Neodiprion lecontei: one gene and its partner. The protein of the gene in region 1 interacts with the protein of each later gene in a pairwise test. Links are inferred from orthologs where the notes say so. Each region holds a gene or a part of one and is shown on either strand. Other genes may lie near its edges. The genes, in order: teneurin-m and filamin-A.

What was found.
Region 2: the proteins of teneurin-m (region 1) and filamin-A interact in binary tests that used the Drosophila melanogaster proteins (3 or more experiments, as listed by UniProt). The link is inferred for Neodiprion lecontei from reciprocal best matches to the Drosophila melanogaster genes Ten-m and cher.

The regions. Positions count from the first base shown.
Region 1 is NC_060265.1:4,840,220-4,844,147, forward strand, and holds the start of teneurin-m, read left to right. Parts: upstream 1-1,448; 5' UTR 1,449-1,811; coding exon 1,812-3,762; intron 3,763-3,928. UniProt on the Drosophila melanogaster protein: Involved in neural development, regulating the establishment of proper connectivity within the nervous system. Acts as a homophilic and heterophilic synaptic cell adhesion molecule that drives synapse assembly.
Region 2 is NC_060264.1:36,041,887-36,045,814, forward strand, and holds the start of filamin-A, read left to right. Parts: upstream 1-1,575; 5' UTR 1,576-1,807; intron 1,808-3,904; 5' UTR 3,905-3,928. UniProt on the Drosophila melanogaster protein: Involved in the germline ring canal formation. May tether actin microfilament within the ovarian ring canal to the cell membrane. Contributes to actin microfilaments organization.

The DNA of each region.
Region 1 (3,928 bases):
GAAAAACTCAACCAAGCTTGACCCATTGTTGGGCTGGTCCTACGAAACAACAAATAATAGGTTGCCAAGTCCTTGCTGGACTTGACAACGTCATGAATCATCGGGCTTTTGGAGTTGTGGCTGTTATACGGGCTGAATGAGTCAACGTCGGTGAATGGCAATTGTCACTTTTGAATTCGAATAACGTACCGTTCCTCGCTATAAGTGTCGTTCGGTGCTTGGATTCCTCCGGCGGCGGTATACTCACCTTTCACAAGTGTCTCCTTCCCGCTTTTCCTCGGAGAGACACTTCAGAACGCGGTCAGTCCGCAAGTTCGAAAGAGTTCGGGAACATCCTCGGGTCCGTGTATCGAGGACTTTGTAACAAAGTATACAATACAGAACGTATGGGTATACATATATCCCAGTCCCAGTTTCTCTTTCGAGTTTTACACAAGCCCGAAAAGTCAGGGAAGTGTTGCCGGCGCGAAAACTGTTTGTACTACTTGAAGGCCGGCAGTGAAGTGGTCTGGCTTTGATCATCTTTATTGCGTCGCGTCGTGGCTCTGAAAACTAAGACAAACGGACCTGCCTTCTTTCGCTCGGAATCTGACTATATCTCGTTTAAATATTTTTCTTGGACTTTCGTAAGTTTTCCTTCAGGTTTCCACTTCCCCGAAGAATAATTTACGATAAAGCCTCGAGAGTCGCGCTAACTCCATTCAGGAAAAACAAGCTGGCCCAATTTTTCCCTTGTTTATCTTACTCGCACCACCACTCAACGTCCCTCGCTCGCGTTACCATCGCCACGCTAATTGCCTCCAAACAATTTCACGTTATTCACAATTCCAGAGTGACGCTACCCTACGGCCACGGTCCGTCGATGATTCCAATGAGGCGGCAGAGCTTCAGATGCCAGCTCCGCAAGGGTATCGACTGGTGCAGTTGGAAACTGATTGCCATCGTGGTGATCATGCTCTCCCTCTGTTTGACGGCAGCCCTCACCTACGTTGCAGGTAACGAGATGTTTTACAGCTGACGACACGTCAGGCAGAGCGACCCGAGTGCAGTGCGGGATACTAATTTGTCGAATGCATTTGCTTGCAGCGTCGAACATGGTGAACTGGAACCAAGGCACGAAAGCGTGCACCGTTCTCGTTGGCGAAAATACAGAATCGAAGCCGGCGAGCACAGAGCCGAACAAGACGTCGTCGAGCAGGCCGAGACAGCAATCGTCATCAGGAGGTAATAATTTAGACCCTGTTTACACCCGCAAGCGTAGAGACACACCTAACCAGCATGCCCCAGTGTTGCACCAAACTTCCCAAGCCTCAGACACGTCTGCAGAAATGCCAAAACCTTACCCAAGCACTGGTACCGGTCAGGTTGGCGTGGAATCAGCACAGCCCGAATCACCGACAACGATCTCTTTGCATGAAGATATAAGTAGGAGTGTGCATGCTGAGCTAAGTGGGCATGAAAACGTGCAGGTTAGTGGGCCGGTTTTGTCGGCGCCAAAAACGGAACCTCCAAAGTCAGGATCGTCGACCATCGGGCCAGTGCTTTATGTGAATGTCTCTAGCTCTACTAACTCTTTTCTCGATTCTGCGAACCTCACGAACACTGTCAATCCTCTTTCTCAAACTTCTTCGGAGGACCCCGATCCGAGCACAATTGCTTCGGTAGAAATCGCGCCTGAATCCGACGGATCTCAAACTGCTCATGACGACGCTGTGAGTAGGTATGCAAGCGTTGAAACGTTTGTTGATGAAAAAATTGAGGTCAGCACAGAGATTTATACAGATTGGTCAATACCCGATAACTCTGACGAAATGGAAATTCCTGGGATACCCGAAATGATACCGAAACTCGATGGGAATCCGACAACAAATGGTTCATTCTCGGACGTGGAAGTTGATAAAGGCAACGCTAGCAGCAGCGGTGATGTGGAGACGATCTATACGCCCGGTATTGATTATCCGGCATCTATTAACCTTAACGGGAACGACGAGTCGAGGTTGGATTTTGATAAGCCGCCAGAACAAAACAGTAGCGAAAATGTAGAAGATGAAGTAGATAAATCTAGTTTGGACAGTAAGCATATAGATTCAAGTAATGGTAGTTTATTCTCCGATAATGATAACGTCGGGTTTGTCAATATGTCGTTATTCCACACTGACGCTAAAGCAAACGATGAAGTTTTACCACTGGCATTACCTTTAGTAGTAACTCGGATAGATAGCGATGCTCATAGCTCAGAAGAAGAAGAAGAAGAAGAAGAAGAAGAAGAAGAAGAAGAAGAAGAAGGCGCACAGCAAGGGCCTTCCGCTGAAATTGAAGCGATAGAACCGCCGAGTAAAAAAGTTAATCGAAAAACTGATGAACGGATAAATGCGACAATTAGTCAAAATGACGAGGCGATTTTCAAAGGGTCAAACGAAACGTCAGCCGGTTTGGAAAAAGCGAAGTCTTCCGGGGTTATAAAAGAAACGAGAGAATTGTCCCGCGAAGATTCCTCGTCGGAGTTTGTTACCAGTGGAATTTCACCCGGCATTACAACCGTGCCGGAGAAATCAGAGGAGCTACAGCGGGATTATCCAGTATTTAGTTATGGCCAGGACGAAGTAAAGATAATAAAACTAGACCAGGAGAAGGTCGGGGTGACTGTGAAATCCAAGATAGCCCGCGTACCAGACCAGGAAATAAAATCCGCCTCAAACTTGGCAACTAACGAAGTAAGAATTCAGGAGGAGGAGAAGAATAATCCCGAGGTTCCAGAAATTAAACGCAAGGAGAGTCTGCAGGTTGTGAATGCTGGAAGTGAGCAGTTTGGAGATAATACGGGTAATTTGAATGGCGATGAGGACGATAGTGAGAACAGCGTTCAACACGAGCCGACGAAGCTTAGTCAGAGGTCGGACACAGTTAACAATAACTGCGATAGCTCGTTGCATGAAAAGCATGAAACTACGAAATCATCTAACGCAAACTCTGTCGCATCTAACTCAAACAGCATTCCTGAACATCCATTAACGCATCAAGTACACGTCGTAGAGGTGCCCAGAAGCGCTGAATCGCAGCGACAATCGCGACGAGTACTTGTAAACGTGACAATTTCGACGGACGATTTTGAGGGAACCGCTGATTCGAATAAAGCTTCGCGCCCGTTGTACATGTTGTCCGTATCCGTACCAACCGATGGCCAAACTAACAATTTTCCCGGAATTAACATCAGCCCAATGCAATTGTCGGGGCAACAGGCAATGTCGAGCGTTGTGGAAAACTCGCGTGCCGATGAAACTACCACCCTAATTCCACCTCCGCCCCAACCCCCGACATCACCACCTCCGAGTTGGGGTGGGGAATGCGAATGCTCGTGTCCTTGCATGGAATCTGATGAGAAGGACAAATTTTCAGACGGAATTACCTCTTTCGAAAATGCTTTATTTAACGACTCTGAGAATGACAACTTCGGTTCTTTCTACGAGGACACTGACTCATTTACCAGCTCCGAAGATTACTCCCAGAATATTAATAATTCATTTCATATAAATGGTTCGAAAGGTCTGTCAGACGTTGAGGAGTCGACGACAGAGTCTTCATTAAGTAGTATTTCGGATTTGAACCTCACTCAGTCAACGACAGAATCTTGGTTAAGTAGTACTTCGGATTTGAACTTCAGCGAGTCGACTACATACTCCTCGGAGGAGATGACTACTCAAGGTTTTTGGTGCACTGGGACAACTCCACTTCCCCCAGAGCCCACTATACTGATTCTCGAAGGTGAGGTCTTGTTTTCTAACTTCTCTACTTTTTTTACTTTCTTTTCTTCCTACTCTACCTTTACACTATCGCTTTAGCTAACAGTGCTTCTTTGCTTGTCCTATCACACCGTTACACAGGCAGCATTATTTATCTTCCGGTTCTTTGCGTTGCACTTGTAAGTAGT
Region 2 (3,928 bases), on another chromosome or scaffold:
AATTATATTCGAATGCCAAGTTAGGAGAAGGTTGAAACATGTACTGTATACGTGTGCGCGACTGATCTCGGACTCGCTACTAGCTTGCAGTCATTTCATTCATACCCATATAGGGCTTGTAATTTCCAACCGACTTTCGAAGCTAAGTAATGCCCTGGGGATCGACCGACACTCACGTCATCCGTCGCCCCCACCATAAGAAGATGATAAGTAAATGCTCTGCATGTCTAGTGGAATAAAAAACCATCCAACACTTTCGACAGATTACTTTCTTTTGAAAGAAACATGATAAGGAATTATATACCCGCTGTGTATGAAGGATATTATTGGCGAGATTTGTTAGAAGATTATATCCTCGCCCAAAATTCGCGCAGTTAGGCTTTCTTCGGACCTTTGACAATGAGCTTATAGGTATACGGGACTCGAGATGCACGCACATATTCGTGTTGCGTCAGCTTTAACGTGGTAGGCAGATAACATTCAACAGTTGCTGTATATGTATACGTATAATACAAGTATAAAGCTGATATAAATTGTGCAAATGTAGACTATTACCAAAAGAGGTAACACAGCATGACGCGATAAGTGCGAACAGCATATTGTGGTAGGATACTTACAGTCGTTGAGCATATAATGGTATACTGGTCATGGACTCCTGATACAAACTTTAAAAAGTGACCATGTTCTATTCAGCATTACAGTATTCATATGAAGCTATATTTTTTTAGTAGGTGAAGAGCGCTTTTGAGATATTTATAAAAAAATATACATTATTCATTTATAATAATAATAATAATAGTAATATTTATTATAAAAAATGAATCGTAGAGAGTTAATGAATTGGGTATGAATGTACGACTGATTTTGGCTTTAGGTCAATGTGTTTACGCTAAGAACCGAAATAAATCATTGGATCCTCCTGCGGCACAAATTTAACTCGAACATAGAATTAAAATTAGGCGATGAATCGCGTTATCGCGACGTCACGGAATCTGGTGAGAAGCGAGTCACAGACTTGGTCATTGTTTCGAGTTGGCCTGACTTTGAACTATTTTTCAGGCTATAAGCACTAAATAGTACAAAGCTTTCAAATATAGTTTCGAGAGTATAAACGTGCAAAGAGTAGTTGCACGTAATAATAGAAACGCTAGAATGAATCCGCGGAAAAAGTATCCGCAAATTTTCATGCAGATGCCTAAAATCATTCCCTGGCAACTTTTCATTTGCACTTGCTTGAACGGTAGGAGAAATTCATGAAACGCAATTGTAAACGTAAACGCGCCAAGGAAGTCGCTGCGGCGGGCAAAAAGGAATTACCCTGATTTGCATCGGCTCCTTCCACGAAGGTACGTCACGGCTGGCGCCTGGTTGACTCGCTTGTCCCCATAGTCATACGTATTCACACTCACACTTTCGTTGAAAAATCTGACCGACCATTTGTATGTGGCATACCGCGTTCGTCGTGTATATGTATATAGATGTATATATAGCCATCCCCGCAGTCCCTGAAGGGTAAGAACGAGGAGCGGCGTTCTATTCTTGGCAAACTTCAGTTGGATCTGCTTTCGCGCTGGTAATACCGACAGTTAACGCCAGAGAGTGATCCGCTCAAGAACTCACCAAAAACTTGACCGTACCGTAGGAGACCAGCCCACGTATCAGCAGACCACTTCCTCCAGGTCGAGCTTTGCCGAGCTTTACACATTTTCAGTCTTTATCTAGCCACAGCGATCGACGGGTACTCAAGAAATTGGATTTAAAGTGCTCATCAGAACAGCAGCATCAGCTTCCAGTCGTACCAGTTGAGGTGAGGTGAAAATCTTAGAACGAATCTTGCGAAACACTCTGGCTTACAGGTGTAAGTTTAACCCCGATTGGGACCAGAAGATACTCGTATAGATTCGACCATGTTTTGTGAAAAAACTTCTTTATCAGAATGAGTGTGAAATAACCGCGGATTGTTGACGATCACGATGATGATCATGATGGGCTCTACGCCAGTTTGAGTATTTTCCTTTCGATTTTAAGCTCGGCATATTTTCTTTACCGTAATATTTTGCAGAAGAAGTGTTTCAATCTTAAGTAAAATCATCCCGAGTATTCCAATACATACACGATTGATAAGTTCACCGACTGTACGTGACTATGCAGTGAGTGACCGTTTATAGCTGCCAGACGTTATTCGTTTGTTTTGCAAGTGCCCGTAATATTTGGTTCACCTGTTCAACTCGACTCGCCGCTGTTTCGTTGTATTGCGTATAGTAAACACACATGGACATATGTGTACTGAAATTATCAATTCAATTCCAAGAATCACTGCGGCTAGGGTTTTTGTGATACATTTTTCTGAATGAAAGCGAATCATGACAGTCGCTAATTTCTGTTAAATAACATTAGACATTTGCACGCTTTTTGCAACGCTTTAAACTGTATCATGGCTGAGGATCGCGAAATTTCGCTACAGCCGCTGATATCGAAATTTGAGACCTGTACTGGTGATGCGAAATTCTATTTTGACCTAGACGCTCTTGCGCAGTATTATACGACAGAATGAAAAATTCATTTTTATGATGACAGAATGAATCTTCTTTGGTATCTCGAAAAACCTTGTCTACATTCGTATAGATAGTTGTACGTGGGCTGTAGTGAGCAGGGGTCTATTTCGAGACAATTTTACGTTTAAAAAAAAATAAAAAACCGACTCAGCTATTTATCTTTGTTCTCCCGGTCGATATACAAAAAACGGAAAACGAAAAGCAGAATATCGTAAATTCTTCCCGTTATATATTGCAGATGCTATCTTTTTCAGTTAATCAAGTCTGATAGAAAATTAAAATTTTTCATGCTGTACGTCGTTTTATAATAGAACAGGAGGTCCGTTAAACTGGCATCTTTTTGAGCACGACGCAGATCTGAAAGGACCAACAAAACAAAACCAGATTGTACCATAGTTCGGTTGCGCATCATCAGGTGTGGTCTGGAGGTTTTTCAAGGTTTAACGAAACAAAAACGGATGGTATGATAGTTCGGTTGCATATTTTTAGGCGTCGTGAATGCGAACGGTCTATACATAGTCGGATCAAGCTAATAGACTGTCATATTCGCGTTAACTGATTAAATAGAGCATTAGCTTACGAGTTATTTTAATTCAAAGTAGGGATACTTTTTGCCTATGTTTTCTAAAATTGTGACTTAGAGTAGATTTTTGTTACTCAATAGGATTGCGAAATTATTTTCCAAGTTTGTTTCTGAGCTCGGGTTCCTCGTTGCGGGTTCGCTTGCGCAACAATTGCTGTATGATATTCATGTAAAGAAAAGTGACACGCCACCTTATTCCAGTTGCCTGAAGAACGCGGGTATCAGGATAACGCTATTCATTGTTAGACAATAAGACTCTATTCTATGAAGACGTCGGACACCTTCCGCCACGTGAACCACAAAAAAATTCAGTGCATTGCAGATCGTCAAGAATCTTAAGCCTGCAGATTAACGCGGTATGCATATCACAATGTGGGCATCTATCGGTGCACAGAAATGATACAGTTCTACCAAAATCTATAGAGTTGGGCTACAGAACAGGTTTTTTTTTCATATAAACGTGGTCGGTCCACGGTGTTTTCATTCATCGAAGCCTTTATACATGCTAAATATTTTATAATTGCTACGTAACAACGATTCCAACGTAACATGTATTCGCAATTTACAGAATAACTCTTCAGTACATTTATCAGAACTTCATTAACTTGCCGACCTTACCGCAAGCTGACCGGCGACCGCATAGATTGCGGTCTCCGTATTTAGATATGTGATGCAATAGTCCGTACGGCGCTAGCAAGAACAAGGACAATTGTTTATTTAAGCAAAATTGTTTACTGTTTGAAATAAGTATGATCTTTTCCTGCAGGTACGGAGACGAACTGAGACGGAA